Drosophila melanogaster: one gene and its partners. The protein of the gene in region 1 binds, or shares a complex with, the protein of each later gene. Each region holds a gene or a part of one and is shown on either strand. Other genes may lie near its edges. The genes, in order: dgt4, dgt3, dgt5 and wac.

Region 1 (3,365 bases):
ATGCAGACGTCGCTTCTTTCGCTGCGGTCCCCACGGAACGGACTTCTCCTCGATGGGCTTGCCATCCGCGTCCACTTGCGGCTCAGCTGCAGGCTGCTTGGCCGTCTCGTTCAGCTTTACCAGCTCCACCACATCGTTCTTTTCGAAGCTTAGCTGACGACGCTTCTCCAACACGGCTACAAAGAAGCCGCCGCTGTCCTGGAGATGCGGCAATACGCGGAGGCACTTCTCCAACCCGATCTTGGCCATCTCGTCGGCCGGCAGAGGGAACATACCGGGCCGTATTATAGTGTGCAGGCTTTCAGGCACTTCCTCAAAGCGGGTAAAGATCTGGTCCACCTCCTTGGTGGCCAGCTTCCAGTCGGTCATGCCGGGCTTGTACTTAAGACCTGGCACCAAGTGCCCCGCATCCACCAGCTCCAATGCACCGTCGGCATCCTTTATGATCCGCTGCAGCACCGCCTCGTTCTCGATGGGATTCAGTGAGCAGGTGGAGTACACCAGCCTTCCGCCAACCTCCAGCATCTCAGCGCCACGACGTACGATGCGGTATTGAATGCCGTGGAGGTTGTAGGCCTGTGCCAGGTTCCACTTCAGCCAAATGTCTGGATTCTTGCGCAGTGTGCCGTCGCCGGAGCAAGGTACATCGCACAAGATCTTATCGAACTTAAGGATCGCCTTTGAGCCGTCCGGCTTCGTGGTCACGAGATTGGGAAAGACACTGCTGTCGTGGTTGGTCACCAACAGGCAGGGCGAGTTTAGACGCTTGGCTTGGTGAACCAGCATGTAGCACCGATTGTTGTCTACATCGTTGGCCAGCACAAAGCCGGGCGGAATCTTGTGCTCCTCGGGAGCAGCGTGCAGAGCCTCAATGAGCTGGGCTGTCTTCGAACCTGGCGCAGCACACATGTCCAAAACTTTGTCCGTGGGTCGGACATCCAGGACAATTGGCGGGATCATGGATACGGCCTCCTGCCTGCTGATGCCGCCCGCCGTGGTCTCCACAATTAGGAAGTTGTGCAGCCGGTAGAGCGGCTCCGAGCGTCGAATGTCCTTGCGGGTAAGGTGCAGCTGGTAGGCCAGTCCGTTTGGATACCACGGCAGGCACAGCGGACGTTCCACATCCTCGGGCGCCTTCTGGTGCAGCTCGGCCACCGCCCTCACATACTCGGTGAATAGCTGCGTCTCAATAATGGATAGCAGGGCTTTGGCCTCGTCCTTGAATCCTGTCACACGGAAAGTAGTGGGCAGATTGTCCCTGATGGAAGCAAGGAACTGCGTCCACTCCTCATCGGTGGCGCAGATCTTCTGCAGTTGGTAGTACTTGATGAAGAAGGCATTATCCCTTTTGATCTCCTCATACGGCTGGGCCTGACGATCGGTGCGCTTGGGACCCTTTAAGATAAAAAATATATTTAAGAATAAAATCCAAAAACGTGGAATGTTTCTCCTTTCAAATTGAGGTGACTCACATTCTCCCGCTTTTGACGTTTGCGAGCCGCGAAAAAATTTTGCTTCTGGTTTCGACCCATTTGTCAATATCAATACCAAGTTATCAGTCCACTGAATATGTTTAAAAAAAATTAGGCAAGCGTTGTGTGTTTTCTAAACGAAACGAATAGTTAAAACGTGTTCGTCGCCTAACTGGCAACGCTGTCGCGCGAGAGTCGCCGGACATTTGGTGCTTGGAAGGGAAGGTGAAATATGCTGCTAAAGAAGTGAAATTGAATTGAAAGGGAATTACTTTTTACAGTACTTGGTTTCCGTGCTGCAAGGAATTGACTTGTTTTTAAACGTTAACTTCATTTGCATGGCTTACATTTTTAGCCCCAAAATCAATAAGAGCTGGTTTCCCAACTATCGGTAAGCAAAATCAAACAACTTATTTCAGTTTTCTAGAAACTTTAAAAACCTGTTAGTTTATGTAAGGAAACCTACATATCTTGTTGTTATTTACATTTTCGAATTATTTTCATTTTTTTTTTATATAGTTATTAATAGCCAAATTTGACTCGAACATAGCTACGCGCCTATCGTTACAAAAATCTCCGTTAGCCGACTTCAAATGCTACCGATAGCAGCTGCGAAAGCGATAGCGTCGGCAATCGAATCCGAATTTCCCACTTTAAAAACTAAGAAGTTTTTGTAAGCCACTATGGAAACTCCACCCACTCCCACCACGACCACACCGCCATCATTGACAACTGAGGGCACCATGGACGACATCCAATACCTGCTGCACCTGGAGGCGATGCGCCGTTTTCAGGAAGACAGCCGCAATGTAAAGCGCCAGGTGGAGGAGCAAGTACGCATTTGGCTGGACGCCAAGTGTGAGTATCAGCGGGACTTTGGGCGGCTGGCGAGGCTCCTGAAGTGCGGAGCCCTGCAGGCGGCCGTGGATGCCCATCGTGTATCTGATGTGAATCAAGTCGACCAGGCGGCCAAGGATATCGCTAGTTTGCGATCCAAACTGGGCAGTGATCTGCGTCCCGCCATTCTGGACTCCAACGATGTGAAGCAGTGCCTGGAACATCTGAACACCACCCACAAACCGCGCCTAAATCTATGCCGGCAACAACGGGAGTTCGCCCAGAACCAAGAAGCTCTAAGAAGTTTGCGTACCGCCGTCGATGGATTGGAGAATGGTATGGAGATGGGCATGATACAGGCAATGGACCGCCTTGTGGAGGATCTTCTCCCACCGCGGGAAACAAACAACTAGCCGGTCGTCTCAAAAGTATATATAATATTGTATGATATAAACTAGTTTATAACATTAAAAACGGAAACTGTAAATGAAAACTACAAGCTACAACGAAGCCAGGATCATCCGATGAAGAATATTGGTAGCGGAAATCTAAAAACAAAAAAAAACGGATTCAAAGCTGTTTAAACTCAGTTATTTATACGGAGAAGATGAGGAGATTACCATTTGGAGCGCTTGGACCAGTCTTTGGGTGTCCAGTGCAGGCATTTCGAGTCGATGCGGATCTTGCGCTTGTCCATTGCTCGCCGGTGTTGCTCGATGATAACCCGGTTGATGCACACGATGTACTGGCCCTTGTAGTAGTTGATCAGGTTCAGGTTCTGCAGCGTTGAGATCACGTCCTCTTTTTTGATGGATGTGCATTCGCAGATGTCGCTGTGAAGAAAAATTTTGGGAGCATGATTAATCTATGTTTCGGCAATGAAGCACAATCTCTGTGGATTGAAAATTGTATTACTTTAAGCTTAGAACTAGCCATACTTTATAGTTATAGTGGGCTTTTCGCCGTCCGTGCTCGGGTTTTGGCTGATAAAGATCTCCAGTATGGTTTGCGCCCAGTACGATCGATAGGACAGCAAACCCAGATCAGACAATGGTT
Region 2 (4,654 bases), on another chromosome or scaffold:
TGCTGCGTATGAAAAATGGTTTTCCAATCCGTATTCACCACGCGTTTTGCGCGCACTCTCCAATTACGCATAAGCCCCTTTGCAGAAACCGATTAACCGTTAGTTTAGCAAGTATAATTGAATTTTTTATAACAGCAACAGCAAATAAAAAGCGACGGAATTTTTCTCAAAATGTTTTGTACGGTATTTTTTTAGTGACTGCCCGTCGCTGGCCATATTTAGCAGCTCTTCGCTGCGAATGGCAATGGCACTGTTATCGATTAATCGGCCATCCCTATTGGCACAATGATAGTGGGTTTTTGTTTTTTGAAATTTTATTTCACACACTCCGTACATCGGTTACAAAAATCAGGATAGACCCTTAATCAATAATAATGCATCCTTGGGATTACTTGGTCGGCTGCTTCGCTTGCTTCTCCTTCTTGGCAGCCTCGGCCTCCGCCTGTACCTTTGTGTACTTCTCGATCAGCTTCTCCACATCGGGTTTCTCCAGGACACTGTATACGGTCTTATTGTCCACACGCTGCAGCGTGGCCATCTCGACCTTCTCCGGGGTCAGCTTGGTGGTGTCCAGGGTCATGCTCAGTACCTTGATGGCCAAATCCTTGGCGTCCGCCAGCGTCAGCTTCACGTTCTCCTTATCGGCCAGCTCCTGCTTCAGCATGGAGATCGCGGCACCGAAGTTGTTGCCAATACAGGTGGCCTTCCATCCGCCGTAGTTGCCGCTGGGATCCGACTGGTACAGTTGGTAGCCGTACTTGTTGTCCCATCCCATGTAGAGCAGCGAGACGCCGAAGGGACGCTTTCCGCCGTACTGAGTGTACGCCTGTTTGATGTCGCAGAGGTGCGACACCAGCTGCTCGCAGGGAATCACCTCGCCGTAGCTGAACTGGTAACGCTGGGCAATCAGACGCAGTTCTGAGGTCAGCACATTGGCATCGGAGGTGATGCCAGCCACCGAGCAGACCATGTTGCTGAGGGAAAACAAAGAGGCTTGGATAGAGATAGATTCGTAGAGAATGTAGTGGGTAATTAAGATCATGGCCAGTTAAATATATGGCCTGTGACCCTTGAATTCATCGTAGGATATACTACTGAAATTTCAACTCACTCGTTCAGGCGATAGATCTTCTCCGAAGGAATGGCGCTGTCCAGCAATTTGTTTGTGCTGCGGCACTCGGCTGCCAACAGGATGCCGTCCTCGGCGAGGATTCCGAGGCAGGTTCCGGCGTGCGAGATGGCCTCCATGGCGTACTCCACCTGGTACAAACGGCCCTCCGGCGAGAAGATCGTGGTGCGGGAATCATAGCGGCGAGCCTGGGAAAATACACGCAAGTCAATTACTACCACGATTGCTAGCCTTCAATGGTCATCGGCCCAATGGTGGCTCTCAGACCAATACCGGTCTTCTGGGCGCGGTACTTACCATTGCTAAGGAATATACCAATTTACAAGTTTATTTTGCAAAACGAACAGAATTTACTTGTCATTCAGTGTAGGGTTGCCAGACTGCCACACGAAGTGCGTCCAAAGCGGTACCAGGGCTGCAAACTAGATGGCGTTAGGGTGTTTCTATTTACCAGGGGTGGTGTGCACGTTTATCCACATATCGATATAAGGTATTAAAATCATTTTAACAAAGATCAATTTATAAGCCCTTTAAGATTGAGGTGTACTAAAACATAATATTTACTTGAATTAAACTTAAGAACTTGTGTCAAATTTAGAAAAATTGTATCCTTACTTCATAGCAAAAATTTAAAATAATTCATATATAAAATATATATATATAATAAACAGAAATTTATTATATATATATATATATATATATATATATTATATATATTATATATATATATATATATATATATATATATTATATATATTATATATATATATATTTAACAGAAATAGATAAGAGTAAATATTTCATGAAATCGTTGATAGGAAATCAGGAATTTCTACGATTTTTATTAAGCTTAATTATTAAGCACTATTTCCTGTTAATTTTCAAAAGGTACCATCTCTAGTAACGTCTCTGAAACCTTTCGATATAACCGATAAGTAATCAGCTTGTGTTGTCATTTTTTTAAAAGATGGGCGATCTGCTGAGCGTATGTGTGATGATTTAATTAATGATCAGCTTATAATCGCCATGATTGCAGAACTCGGAATTCTTCAAGAAGCTGGGAGTGGACAGCTCGAACCAGTGGATTCTGTACGATGAGCAGATGGAGATGTTCTTCAAGTTCCTGTCCGGGAACATCACGGATGCAAATATCCTCACAGAGCGACAGGTTCTGGAGCGGGAGGAGATGCAGCGGCGGGGCGAGTGGCTAAGTGCTTCGGATCGCGAGCTCAAGCTCCTGCAAATCGAGGCCGAAAGTCCGGGGCTTCTCAACTACAAGCAGCAGGATGTCGACGCCTTGACCATGAGCATTGAGGCGATCGAAGATGCCTCAAGGGATTATGCTACGCTTCTGGAAGATATGATGTAAGGGAAAAACTGTAACCTTCCTCATATATGTTCGATCGATGGTCAATCCACTTTTGCAGGACCACAAAGCACTCGATAACTAAGCACCTAGGCGAGGTGGAGTGCGTCACCGCCGAGTTGCAACTGAGGGAGAAGGATCTGATAGCCGAGTGCCAGTCCAAAGCCAAGCAACTGGAGGAACTGCAGCAGGAGAACTGCCGGCTAAGCGCCGAAGCCAAAAAGGCATTCACCGCCCCACAGTTGCCGCCTCTATTCATGCATCAACTGCCATTGGAGCAGTATTTCCACAAATGCGATTCATTTATGCAATACTTTACTCTGTATGTGAAGGAGAATTTTAAGATCCAGGACTATGATGAGTTCCAGAGCGCGGAGGAAGATCTTGGGCGCGAAAAGGCCAAGCTGGAGGACTTGGAACGTGGGTAAGCACAAAGGTTCTGTGCTAAAAACAATGCACATTAATTGATATGACCGTTTTTACAGCATCCAGTTTTATGCACTATCCTACATAAGAACAAAGGCCAAGGTGAAGGCCACGCAGTGTCTTATTGACCAGTTGGATCTTGGCAAGATTCACTGCCTCAGTTTAACGGACATGGCGCGTGAAATGCACGATCTGCAGCTGCTCAACGACTATCAACTGAGCAATACACACGATACGCTTTTAAACGATCTAACCATTCACATTCAGCAGCACACCCAGCGACGTATTGAGCTGGTTCTCTACGAGAACACTAAACTGAAGTTGGAAAGAGCTGTTCGACGTCATGAAAGCGACAAGAAGCTCACTAAAATCATCTCAGATGCTCTGTCCAATGCGGAATTGCTGTGGATTGCGATCCAACTGGACTGCGACAAGAAGCGCAACTGCCTGGACACTTCGGAGGAGTTGCGCGACCAAGCGCAGGCCACTTGGCAAAGAATCCAGACCATGCGCTCCATTAACGCCAGTTATCAGGGCATTTGTGCCCAGTTTGTGCAGGAGATTGCCAATTTGTTGTCAGCCCACTTGGGACAGAACATAAAGGCAACTGAGGCCAAGGCTTGTCTCTTCGAATACGAAAAGTTCGGTCGCCTGCTGTCTTACTCCTTTCAGAGCATGCTGAACCGAAAGTCGTGTGCTGCTGTTCAGGATCAACTGGCAGAACTGTAAGTTGCAATACTTAACTTTGATACAGATCGTTTAAGCTATTAATATTTTTTTTTAGCAAGCGCTTGGAGCAGACTTTGCGGCCGTTTGTCTATGATTCCCCATTGGAGCAGCCCATGTTTGAGAACGTTCGCTACTTGAGCGCCATATACAATGTCACCCAGCAGCAAACTCGCCTGGATGAGTCAGGGCGTTCCTTGCGAAAAGATTTCCTGGAAAATGTCGTGGGGCGCATTGTAAGTATACTAATTAACTATAAAATCATGGAATATAACATTTTAATGTTGTTTATCCTTTTAGGAGCGGGATAAACTGTATCGCTATAGCGTAGTCCTGTGGATTTGGTTTCTCACTGAGCCGCAGCGCATGATGCATGCAATTGATGAGGTCAAAAAGGCAGCCGCTGCAGTAATTCGTCCAGGTGGTGGTCTGCACCGCAAGTGAACTTAGTTGATTTAGAATCTGGTCAGTAAATAAATGTTAAATTATTCAAAAATAAACATTACGGCGTTGCTAGTCTAATAATAAGTCAATACACTAAATTTAGGGATGCTGTATAATGTGTGTATGTAAAGATTCTTAGGCAGCAACATGATTTACTTTTGCTTACGACTTTGGTAATTGTTTTCCCCCCTTTGAAATGCCTTTTCCCTGGGCTATCAGATTTGGGTTCACTAAACACCGGGCGTATTAAGGCAGCATCGTCTTAAAGCAGTCTACACGAGTGCCACCAAAGAGACGCATTAATTGCTGGCGGCACGCGACGGCGTTTCCAAGCGATTACCATTCAGATTTGGCCAAGGAGCAACAAGTGAGGCCATAAAACCTTGTTCGCCTAACCTAGAGATTCACTTTCCGTGCAGACGAAGTCATTTGCCCGCCGATTTGCAGGACTCTCATTGGCTGCCGGCATTCGGGCTGCAGGACGAGTTTTGCCGAGCAGAGGTCCTTGCGGATATAAAAGGACCAACAGTTGTGGCCACTGGTTCACTCGATTATCGTGCTTC
Region 3 (7,844 bases), on another chromosome or scaffold:
TCGAACTGCCGTGAGTCGTGGGCCAAGCCAAAGAAGGCATCGTACGCCAGTTGCAGGCCATTGAGATCTGCCAGGCGTTCTTTCAGCGAGACGAATGGTTGCTCCTCCGCACACTTGATGGCATCCCGAAAAGGCTTCGACTCCCGGATCTCCAAGCCCACAGGTGACTCATTTCCAGCTGCATCGAAGAGTATACCTTCCTGTTCAAAGGCGTGGTTCATCTCGTGGCCCAGGACTGCGCCCAGAAGACTGTGCTGGAAGATGGTGTGCTCTCGGTGATCGAACAAGGGCCACTGCAAAAATTCCATGGGAACAGTAATGGTGTTCCTTTCGTTCTCATAGAAGGGAGAAGTGCGAGCCTTCCTTACGTTATCGTTGACATAATAGTGCCGCAGATCCACTCGAGAATTCCTTGCAAGCAGTCCAGCATTCTGGAGACGGGTACGTAGGGCAAATGCTTCAAGGAGATTGGCCAGGAAGTTTGTCGCGGAAAAGTTCGCACTTCCATAGTGGTTATTATAGAACTCAGGAGATTTCTCCTCAGGCAAATTTCCTATTTTGATCTGAATACCTTCCAACTTTGCTCTTACATAGGCCAACTGGTTTGGCGTAAGCTGCAGGCGATTGGCATCTAAATATTGGCCAAAAGCTGCCTTTAAAGTGGATAAAATCTCCAGTACCTTACTGGTATCCTCCTCCCGGTTTTGGTATATAAATCGATCATAGATGTAGTTCATGCCCAGGGGTAAATAGGCACGCATATGGTGAATGCAGCTTCTTGGATTCCGCTCCCTTGGCTCCGACTCCTCCACTAAAACATATTGGCGTGCTCGAATGTACGTGTCCTTCGGCTCACTGGCGAAATCCCGTAGACAGCGAAAACATTCCCGCAAATACTCAACATCACTCACCTCGAAAGTCAGGTGATAAAGCTCCTCGGTGTGGTTCACGCCCAATAACTCAATAAAAAAGGAATGCGGAATAGGGATTTCCTGCCTTAATTCACTGAAACTCCATGTATATACAACAGGATATTCTGCACGATACTTATCCTGCAGCTGATGCATTTTCTCCACCAGTTTAACCACTCCCATCGAGTACCACGCTTCTTCGTAAAGGCGCATGAGCTGCAAGACACGGCGGTCACTATATCTATCAGCCGGGTCAGGCATCCTTAACTGAATAACCCAACGCATGGAATCATTGGCGGCCACATCAACTCGCTCATCAATGAATACACCATTCAAGCCGTATACGAGAAATTTTTTAGGATGCAAAATCCACTGATTGACCAGTTCTTCGGGACGAGGATTCCCGTGAAGCTTTCGCGTATCCTCCTTGCAGGCCTTGTAGTATTGTCGCATTTGCTTTATCAGTCGGGGTGCCAGTGTATCGTTTTCACCCAAGTGGCTCTCCATGAATTCCACCATGGCAGTGGCGAACTGATCCTCGACTCGCTCAAAGTTGTCCACATATTTAGAGGCACTGGAGAAGCGACCGCAGGCAAAATTCCAGAAATTCGTGCACGGTGATGTTGTTCTATTGAGATTATTGTGAATATCGTTCGACGTTGCCACGTTGATGTCCACTATTGCCTGGATGGGAATGAATAATGCCACCAGGCAAGAGCACAGTAAAAGTAAACATCCCATTAAGCTCGCTCGATTCACAATGAAACAACAGATTATCGCAACGCTCTGCTGAGCTCGGCCACCTTCGAACTACCTATAGAGCTTTGGGGCTGATAGTGACAGCTTGGTCAATACTAGAATTCACATTTGAAATGTAGAGCAATTACCTCTAATGAAATGTGCCTGCCACCTATATAAACCCGCTTGGTGAGTACATTAAACCGATCTTAACGTTTATTGAATCTTAATTACACCGCTGTTGTAGTTCAATCTTCAATCGTTCGCTAAGACAGTTCGCAATATAAAATTGGTAATCGCGTCGGGACTACCCCAACTATATGTCACACGCTTATAGTCTACTTAACAAAACTGGATCTAAGGTGTTCACTTCTTGAACTTTTGCTTCTTTCCCGCATTCGCACCCGCCGTGGACTTTTTCAGCTGGCCGATCTGTTTGGATTTTTGCTTCAGCTTGTTCTGCTTCTTGATGGGTTTTCCCTCGAGAATGGGCACATCGTCGATATCCACTCGCGGCGCCTTGGCCAGTTTGGCGTTTCCCTTGGGCGACTGTTTTCCTTTCGGCTGTGGCTTCGTTTTCGTTTCCTTAATTGCTGATTTGCTAGGGGAGTTTGTGCCATTGGTTGTTGGCTTATTGTCATCTGGTTTAGCTGGTGATCCGGCTCCATTTTCCTTGGGTTGCGATCCTTTGTTCTTTTTATTGAATGATTTCGCATCTGAATTGGAAACAGTGGTTTTCCCATTGGTTTGTTTTTGTTTAGGTGCAGACTTGGAAGGTGACTCGCTTGAATTTGTTTGCTTGTCCGGTGCCTGGGATTTCTCATTTTTCTTCTCTGCTGGCTTTTCTGGCTTTGGCTTTTTGACAGGCTGCTCAAACACCTTGGCCACATACTTGGTCTTGCTCTCTTCCCGCTTCTTTTTCTTCAGTTCCTGTTCGATTTCGGTGAAACTGGGTTTTCCGGCGCGCTTTCCAAGCAGTTTTCGGGGACCCTTCTCCTTTGACGCTACCTCCTCCTCCACCTCCTCAGACTCCGCAGCCGCTTCTGTAGTGGCGTCCGCTTCGATGGCCTCATCCAGCTGCTTTTCATCCTCCTCCTGCTGCTCCTTAGTTATGGGTATGGTGTTGGAGAATTTCTTGAGCTTGGCCACGTAGAACCCGTCCATGTTGTGGGTGTGCGGATAGTAGCGCTTGGTAAGGTTTAAGCTAGGATGGAACCGATGCTGACGGAATTTGGTAAAGCCCTCCACGCCGAAGTCCAGACCAGTGGGCACAAGTTTGACATTTCGCTTCTTCAGTGCATAGTCGATGACCCATTCGTTCTCCTCGGGCAACACCGAACAAGTTGAGTATACAATGTAGCCGCCAGTTGATGACTTCGCATCCGTACAATCTATGGCAGTCAGCAGAAGCTTCCTCTGCAGGTTGTAGCACCTTTGTACATCTACTTCCGACTTGGTGGTCTTCACACTGGGATCCTTAGAGACGACGCCAGTTCCAGTGCACGGAGCATCCAGCAGGACACGGTCAAAGCCAGTCATAATATTCCGGAACTTAGTGCCATCCTCGCAGCTGACCACTGCATTTACAATTCCCAGGCGATGGAAATTGGCAACAATGGCCTTGATGCGATCCCTGTTAGAATCGTTGGCGAAGAGCACACCAGTGTTCTTCATGATGCTTGCGATGTGGGATCCCTTTCCACCTGGGGCGGAGCACATGTCCAGGATGCGTTCGTTCTCTTGCGGGGCGAGTGCCATTACAGGCAACAGCGAAGAGGCGCCCTGGATCATGTAGTGGCCAGCCAGATACTCTGGAGTTGCACCCAGTGGCACCTGTGAGTTAAAGACAACCAATCCAACTTTCGTCCATTTACCAAGGGGATCCAAGTTGACGCCACGATTGATCAGAGCTCCGGCCAAATCCCTACGACGTGTTTTTAGAGTATTGGTGCGTATGGTTAGGGGACGAGCAATCTAAAGGGGTTAATTTTTAATGATTAATCTTGTAACTATATTTTTTATGAAATATACTAACCTCTGAGGCCTCCAGATATTCCATTAGCTCTGTCAGCGGCAACATATCCATCAGCTTCTCCATCAAAAATTCGTTGTAGCTGTAATACAAACACAGATCCCTGCGCAGCAAATCGATGTACTCCCCGCGAGACCTATCCGCTTGACGATACCTTTTGAAGTCGGAAAGAACCAGACTGACGTCCTTTATGCGCTGTTGCACTTCCTGCAGGGTTAGGTCCTTCTCGGTTTCTTCGCCTTCGACGGGTAGCTGGAAAACATCCTGCTTGTCAACGGTTTCCAACATTTCGTCGTCGGCCAGTTGGGCTTCCTCTGCCTCGCGCTTTTTCAACTTCTTGTTAGCCCGCTCGATGGGCAGCTTGTCATCATCATCATCATCATCATCATCGTCGTCGTCCTCATCCTCCTCTTCATCACTGTCTGCCTGAGCACCATCTTCCTCGCCAGATATGTCAAAGTCATCGTCGGAGTTGGCATCATCATCGTCGGATAGATCGGCCAGCTTGCCAACCTGAGCGGTATCATCATCAGATTCCAATCCTTCCTCATCGTCTCCCTCCTCTTCCTCTTCACATTCTTCTCCCAACTCATCTTCGGAGTCCTCCTCCGACTCCTCATCCTCCTCCTCCTCCTCCTCGGACTCCGTTTCTGGCTGCTTCTGTTGCTTCTTGGGCTTCAGCCAGGCATCATTATCATCTGTAAAACCCTTGGGAGCTGTAGCTTTCTGGCCCTTCGGAGCCGGCACCAGTTGAGGCACCTCCTCATCGGAGGATGCAACCTGTGGTTCCTCTTCATTATCCTCAGGATCGCTGTCGCTGTTGTAGGCCGTCTTCCGCTTAGCCGGTTGTGGTAACTTTCCCTTGGCCCTCTTCTCCTGTAGTTTGGCCTTCTGGACTACTTTCTTTTGCTCTCGCTTAACGAACCTCTGCTTCTGTCGGTGGGAAAGCTTCTTGTCCTCCTCTTCCATGGGAGCTGTGAAGTAAAACATTTGAATTGAACACCCATTGAATAGGGTAATATTCAGGAGCTCTCACCAAACGATTGTTTGCGAAAAACAGGCGGTCCTTGCTTGCGCGCCTTGCGCCCAGGTCCCTTTTTCGGTTTCTCACTGTATTCAGCCTTCCGACCCATATTTTTAACTTAGTTTATCCAGTTTCTTGGAGCAGAACTTAAAAAAAAACGTGAGCACTTCGATTTTGCTCCACGTGCGCCGCTCAAAAGACAGCGAGTGTTTTCCAGCACTGGTCAGAGGGAATTGCTTGAGCCAGTGCTGTCAACTTTTCAGCTTTTAACTAGCTATGAACAATGTTTTTTTTTCAACATATATTAATAACTAATAAAATTATATATTACTTTAAATTTTATTTTGTCGGACTTTGCTTGATTCTTACACAGTTTATTTATACAGATTACGTTAGTATATATATTTGGAAAACACGTGGAACTTTTTAATTAAGATATTTTAGCTACTTGCTCTCCCAGCTGTTTAGCAGCAAACGTATTTCTCAGCACTATAAAAACGAGTTGGTAAACTAATTGGTAAATCCAAAAATATCATAAATAAAAAAAATCTGGAATATATCTAATTAACAGAATTCTTGCTTATAAGTAAGTATTATATCCATTCAATAATTAGATATGATCTTTAGTTGTAATTTAAAATGAAAAATTAATTTAAATAACCGTTATAGTTGCTGCCAACTTGATGCGAATAGTAGTTTGTTGACAACCCTGCCATATTTGATTGTGTTGGTGAATGGCTGGTTCAAACGACTGCGCCTTTTTGCGAAAAATTTAATTAGTTGCAAATCATGGCATACCAGGAGAAAATAACAGAATTTAAGAACTGGGCCACTAATCTTGGCTGCCCGCCCACTGCCCTGCCCACCGATGATGCACTCCGAAGGTAAGTTACAGCTGTGTTAGGCAAATCGGCAACTATCCGTACTTAAAACCCGCTTTTTGCTTCACAGAATTTTTAAGTCCGGCTCCAGTTTACTTTTGAACCAGCTGCAATCCCGCATCCAGCCGGTGGATTACGTGCGGGAGGTGCGCGAGAACCTGCTGATTGCCCAAGTGGCTCGCTACAAGGACAAAATGGTGCCGCTGGCCTCTAGGAGTTTCCAGCCACCGGAGCTCCAGAGGTACCAAAAAATACAGGAGCTAAAGAAGCACAAGGAGAAGGCGAACCAACAGCTTACGGAGGCCCGAAAAGAGTACCAAAAGCTATCTGCCGGCATCAAGACCAAGAGTGGGTATAAAGTGAACATACTGATAACCTTGACGTCAATTTAATGCGGTGAATCCCATACAGACATTCAAACCATCAGTGCTGAGAACCGGAAGCAACTACTTGAATCCAAATGCAATATCCTTGACCTGAAGCTGGAGTCGCTGAATAAGAACTACGACCAGGAGTTGAAGAACAAGATCCAAATCTTGGGCACCACGCCCGTGAAGCTGAGTGCTAGAAATGCCAGCGAGGCGCAGGCAACAAGGGCTGTGGAGCAGGCTCTCAAGCAGCTGGAGACCTTCTATGGAATGTGTGACGATGGCAATGCGGTGAACAATTTAGCCGAGGCCAAGCAGCGATTATGGGATCAGATGCGGAGCACCTTTGCGGATATTCCCAACTCCCTGCTTCTGAACGTGGTAATGAAGATCAAAGAGGAGCAGCTGCAGCACATCATGAAGCTGAATGAATCCAGAGGCGAATGCACAAATGATAAGCCACCGCTGAATAACTATGAGGTCAAGTTACTAAAGACCAAGGCCGATATGCTGGGTCTGGCGGCCAAATATTTCGCGGCCCAAAAGGAGCTGGAACTGAAGGAGGAACGCTTTTGCCAAGACTACAGCGTCTTTGTGGACAAACTGCAATCAAAGGTATACAGATTTAATGGCATAAGTTTGGGCGACGAGGAAAATGCGGATGAACTGATTAGCGACTATCTGGTGCAGTACAACATGCGCAATTTTAATCGCTCCCAAAACGAATTCCTTCGTGAGCAGATTGAGCAACTGCGTCTGGAGCTAGATGCGGGCGCCAAGCAGCTGGAGAATCACGATCTAAAGCTAGGCTCTGTGAAACAAGTATACGGCGACATTAACTCCAGCATCAATCGCATCCAGCAAGATATGGTGCAGCTGTCACAGATCAAGGAGAAGATCCTGTTTTCGCGAAATATGATGAAGAACCTGCTGGACGATATGCAAGCGGCCACACAGAAACAAAACGCCAAGTCCCAGCTGATGAGCACTAAGCTAAAAGTCAGCAATATGTCCATGTTGGGTGCGGAGAGTTTTTGCCTGGCCAATGATAGTGTGTTCTCCAGCACCAAGGTGGAGTTCGATGGCAACTGCAGCGCAATAAACTCAACGATGCGTCGCAGTTTTGACAACAAAACGCTAGTGCCGGGCGGAGCAGCATCTACCACACTGATGGCTGCATCCGGAGCCACGCTACCATCGCATTTGCTGGAATTCAATACATTTTTGGAAATACCGCTGGAAAAATTTAGCTGTACGCCGCGCGCCTGGTGAGAGCATACTTTAGCTGAATGTGCTATTTCCAATTAATCCAGAGTTCATGTTTTTTCCGACAGCTCCTTCCTGTTGTCGGCCAATCCACTCATCGTCGAGGCCCAGGAGTTGGCCTCCACCGTTCAACTGGCACCAGGCTATTTGCTAACACCCTTCGGCGCTCTGCAGGAAGTCCGAAAACGCATTTTGTGGGCGTCAGCAATTGCCGCACACACGTCTGAGTTGAAATTGAATTTGCAGCCGTTAATTGGTAAGCTCGATTCCGACATTTTGTCTCATATCCGTCTGATAGAAAACGTATCACCCTGCTCCCCAGTTGATCCGCACGATTTGAGACTGAAGGCGAGTCGTCAGCACGAGGAAATTGACCAATTGCTGGACAACCTGATGGCCATTGGGGTGAAGACTCAGTTGCAGCTGGAAAAGGCCGAGCGCATCTATCAGTTCCTGCTTGAGAATCCATTGCGACGCTACGTTCCACCCAGTAAACGATACAACAATGGCAGTTTCGCGGACTACGAGTCCGAATTCAATCTCTACTATCGCATGACCACCAATGGAAGTTCGATGCGAGCGCCACCTAATTAAGTACGTTATTTGTGTTGTGAATACTGTAGC
Region 4 (3,027 bases), on another chromosome or scaffold:
AGTACAAAGCCGCGCAGGAAGCAGCTCGGGTCGCGCATCTGGCCATCTGGAAGTACGGTGACATAACGCAAGATGATGCGCCCGAGTTCCGCTAAAAGATGCCCGGAAACGTGGAGTAGGCCTGTGGCGTGGAGCGCGTTGCTAGCCGAAAAGATTGTCTGCCACATACCCGCCCTTTATATACATAACAACAAGCAAGAACTTAAAGAATATGAAATTACTAATTCTATCTATACACCAATATATATGATACATATACCACATTGGAAATACACAAATACATACATATGAGCAATGGCATGGAAGAACACGGTACACTTTTTGTATGCTTTAAGCAGCTGGCAAATTATTATTTGGTCTTCTAGTTTTCCTATCATGATACTTTAAATAAATATTTGACACAACCTAGCAACAATTGGAACGTTTTTAAAATGCGTACAATAACCAAAATAAGTGCACCCTCTGATTGTGTAGTGTTCCAAGTTGTAAACCTCAACATTCATCTTTAAAATTTGCAGATTTTATGTTTTTGTAAAGTGTTTTGCATTACTGAGTAAATACAATTAAATAATTTTTTAAAAACGAAAGCAATTCACTTCTTTAGCGCTGCTCCAGCGAATCTACCTTCTCGATGACACTTTCAATGCTAAAATCCTTTGGGATCTTAAGGGTTTTTTGCCGGTCCAGTAAGGCCTGTTTTGTTGCAAGCTGTTGGGCGTTTCGCTGCATTACGACGATATCCGGGATGAGCCGCTCTTCCGCAGCAGCATTAAATCTGCAGAAGAATGGTTTTGGTCAGGGATTCAACTATTAAAGGGATTTGTTCACCAATACCTCTCCAACATAACTACGTCCCTAGTCGCCTCCTCGATGGACGAGAGGATGCGCTGCAGCTCTACGCGTTGCTGCACTGTGGTCTGCCGGTTTTCTATGCATTCCCTCTTCTTGGCACAATAGAAGTCGCGCAAGTAGTTCAGATTGATGTCGTGAATGTGCAAAAGTGAATAATATTGGGCGCATTTGTCAAGGAGCGCCAGGTCATCGTCCGAGAAATCGCCCAACTCGACGCTAGCCAGCTTTAACTGGTCATCGAAGTGCTGGCCTAGACGCATCAATGAATTGACTTCCTCTTGGATCTTCAAGTTCTCTGCATCATAAGAATAATTAGTTGTATGCCTAGCGTTTTTTTTAAATAAACTCACGCATTTTTACTGGAGATGACAAGCTATCGATGGTTCCGAAAAAGATACTACCGCTTTGCTCAAAACGCAGGCGTATAGGCAGCCGGCTTAGAAACAATTTAGACTAAGTTGGCAGGACTTTGCTTTTCTTCGCCACTAATCGTATCCAGGTTTCGCATGTCTTTGTCTTCGTAATCCGAATGTGATAATAGGCGCCTTAGGTGCAGATATCGATAGTCTCTACAGTATTTCAGGGCTACCTAGCAAAATGCCACCAATTGCTTTTGTTGAATCGAATTTTAAGAGACAAGCGATTAAAGTAATAAATAATAGAGCTTTTTAATTGTAATGGTTCTATGCCTAATATCATTAAAAATAACACTTAAATTCGTGGTTCGATTACTTGGGCAGTGTGACCGCATCTCGAAAATTGAAAAAGGCCGTTGTCCCAAGAGTATGAAGAAATAGTTATCAATTTTTCGCTAGTTCATAAAATCGATTTGTACTGCTATTTTTCTTTGTTTACTTTCATTGTGCAAATTCGTAAAAGACATTCGTAATATCGTGTTTTCTAACTAACCCAAAGTACTGGTGCTGCGCAAGTACGGATGTATTTATTTGCGTCGGCAAAATGTGAAATAGAATAAATGGCAAATCGATCGATTTTTGACAACGAAGTGGGAAAGTAGCGGTGTCTGGGTGTGTTTGTGTACTGCGACCAGCCAAAGTTTAGACGAATCCTCCAAGGAAGAGGATAGAACAAAACCCTAAAGCCACACTTTTCATCTGCCATGGAGCACACTGCCTCGCTGCCTGGCTACGTCCGCGAGAAGCTCGCCGAACTGGACTTAGAGCTGTCGGAAGGTATACCTATTTGAATAATACACACAAAAATAAAATATTGTTGTTAAAGTGCGGCGACTGAGTTGTAGAAAATCGCGTGAAAACTGTGGCAGACGTAGTCTGGTCTGATTCAAATCATTGGATACTTGTCGCCCCCAAATGGGATTACAAGTGCTGTTCTCGGCTTTTCTTTCGCTGAAAGCTGCCCACATATAGTCGGGGACCGACCAATTAAAAGAAAAGTGTGTGTGTTGTGTTGTGTGGCTTTCAGCATGAATACATGATTCAGTCGCTACTCCACGCTTTTCAAAAAACGACGAGGCCCAGCGGACATATTAATCGTTAAGAAAACAATTCCATCTGCTTTTCTAGGTGACATTACGCAGAAAGGCTACGAAAAGAAAAGGGCGAAGCTGTTGCAGCCGTTCCTAAAGAAGCCAGAAGGTATGTTCGAAAACATTGATATTTGGTCGTTTGGTCGTCACCAGAAAGTTCTTGATCCTTTTGTTGTGAACAGGCGATAAAGTGAAAAGTACGCCGCCACCGCCATACTACAACGTTAAAAATGCCAACAACAGCACCAACCACGGAAACATCAATAACGACGGCGTCATTGTGTCCAGCGAGGGCTACAGTTATGTGACTGAAGTGCCCTCCCTGTCCTCCTCGCAGCAAAGACATTCCAAAAAAATTGACTTCCATCAGCAAGCCGCCATGAGCTTGTCATCGGCACCACAGAGCGGAAATGCTGGGGCTCCTGGCTACGAAAATATGCGACCGCAGGGTGGAGCAGTCGGCGATCCCGGGTATCAGAACACTCGCGAACCAAGTGCTTTTCAGAACCAACAGTCAACTAATAATAGTCAGCATCGTCAACGACGCACACAGCGCAAAGTAACGCACAATGAGAAACGTTATCATTCTGGTTAGTAGAACAAGTTACAGCAACAACATTTTATCTCTGATCATCTGACCCCTAGAAGTACGACAAGAGGCTGTGCAA

Evidence for each region.
Region 2: dgt4 (region 1) and dgt3 share a complex: the UniProt entries of both Drosophila melanogaster proteins name them as parts of the augmin complex.
Region 3: dgt4 (region 1) and dgt5 share a complex: the UniProt entries of both Drosophila melanogaster proteins name them as parts of the augmin complex.
Region 4: dgt4 (region 1) and wac share a complex: the UniProt entries of both Drosophila melanogaster proteins name them as parts of the augmin complex.

Annotation. Positions count from the first base shown.
Region 1 is NC_004354.4:4,112,073-4,115,437, forward strand, and holds dgt4 (dim gamma-tubulin 4), read left to right. Parts: upstream 1-1,628; 5' UTR 1,629-1,863; intron 1,864-1,991; 5' UTR 1,992-2,155; coding exon 2,156-2,722; 3' UTR 2,723-2,856; downstream 2,857-3,365. Other genes in the region: Nsun2 (NOP2-Sun domain family, member 2), read right to left, coding at 1-1,395, 1,473-1,532; Tip60 (Tat interactive protein 60kDa), read right to left, coding at 2,857-2,857, 2,930-3,142, 3,248-3,365. UniProt on the Drosophila melanogaster protein: As part of the augmin complex, plays a role in centrosome-independent generation of spindle microtubules. The complex is required for mitotic spindle assembly through its involvement in localizing gamma-tubulin to spindle microtubules.
Region 2 is NT_033778.4:20,991,766-20,996,419, reverse strand, and holds dgt3 (dim gamma-tubulin 3), read left to right. Parts: upstream 1-2,038; 5' UTR 2,039-2,096; coding exon 2,097-2,114; intron 2,115-2,165; coding exon 2,166-2,494; intron 2,495-2,556; coding exon 2,557-2,919; intron 2,920-2,980; coding exon 2,981-3,646; intron 3,647-3,705; coding exon 3,706-3,883; intron 3,884-3,947; coding exon 3,948-4,091; 3' UTR 4,092-4,144; downstream 4,145-4,654. Other genes in the region: Prosalpha3 (proteasome alpha3 subunit), read right to left, coding at 389-974, 1,112-1,317, 1,427-1,429. UniProt on the Drosophila melanogaster protein: As part of the augmin complex, plays a role in centrosome-independent generation of spindle microtubules. The complex is required for mitotic spindle assembly through its involvement in localizing gamma-tubulin to spindle microtubules.
Region 3 is NT_033778.4:12,465,723-12,473,566, reverse strand, and holds the start of dgt5 (dim gamma-tubulin 5), read left to right. Parts: upstream 1-1,791; 5' UTR 1,792-1,838; intron 1,839-1,844; exon of another isoform or gene 1,845-2,015; coding exon of another isoform or gene 2,016-3,623; intron 3,624-3,684; coding exon of another isoform or gene 3,685-4,655; intron 4,656-4,717; coding exon of another isoform or gene 4,718-4,814; exon of another isoform or gene 4,815-4,916; intron 4,917-5,374; 5' UTR 5,375-5,494; coding exon 5,495-5,589; intron 5,590-5,656; coding exon 5,657-5,934; intron 5,935-5,997; coding exon 5,998-7,222; intron 7,223-7,288; coding exon 7,289-7,476; intron 7,477-7,542; coding exon 7,543-7,814; 3' UTR 7,815-7,844. Other genes in the region: Nepl10 (Neprilysin-like 10), read right to left, coding at 1-1,652; CG8545 (uncharacterized protein), read right to left, coding at 2,016-3,623, 3,685-4,655, 4,718-4,814. UniProt on the Drosophila melanogaster protein: As part of the augmin complex, plays a role in centrosome-independent generation of spindle microtubules. The complex is required for mitotic spindle assembly through its involvement in localizing gamma-tubulin to spindle microtubules.
Region 4 is NT_037436.4:256,571-259,597, reverse strand, and holds wac (wee augmin), read right to left. Parts: upstream 1,423-3,027; 5' UTR 1,207-1,422; coding exon 1,203-1,206; intron 1,193-1,202; exon of another isoform or gene 1,148-1,192; coding exon 835-1,147; intron 776-834; coding exon 601-775; 3' UTR 501-600; downstream 1-500. Other genes in the region: Tudor-SN (tudor staphylococcal nuclease), read left to right, coding at 1-95; DIP2 (DISCO interacting protein 2), read left to right, coding at 1,973-2,045, 2,397-2,468, 2,542-2,949, 3,005-3,027. UniProt on the Drosophila melanogaster protein: As part of the augmin complex, plays a role in centrosome-independent generation of spindle microtubules.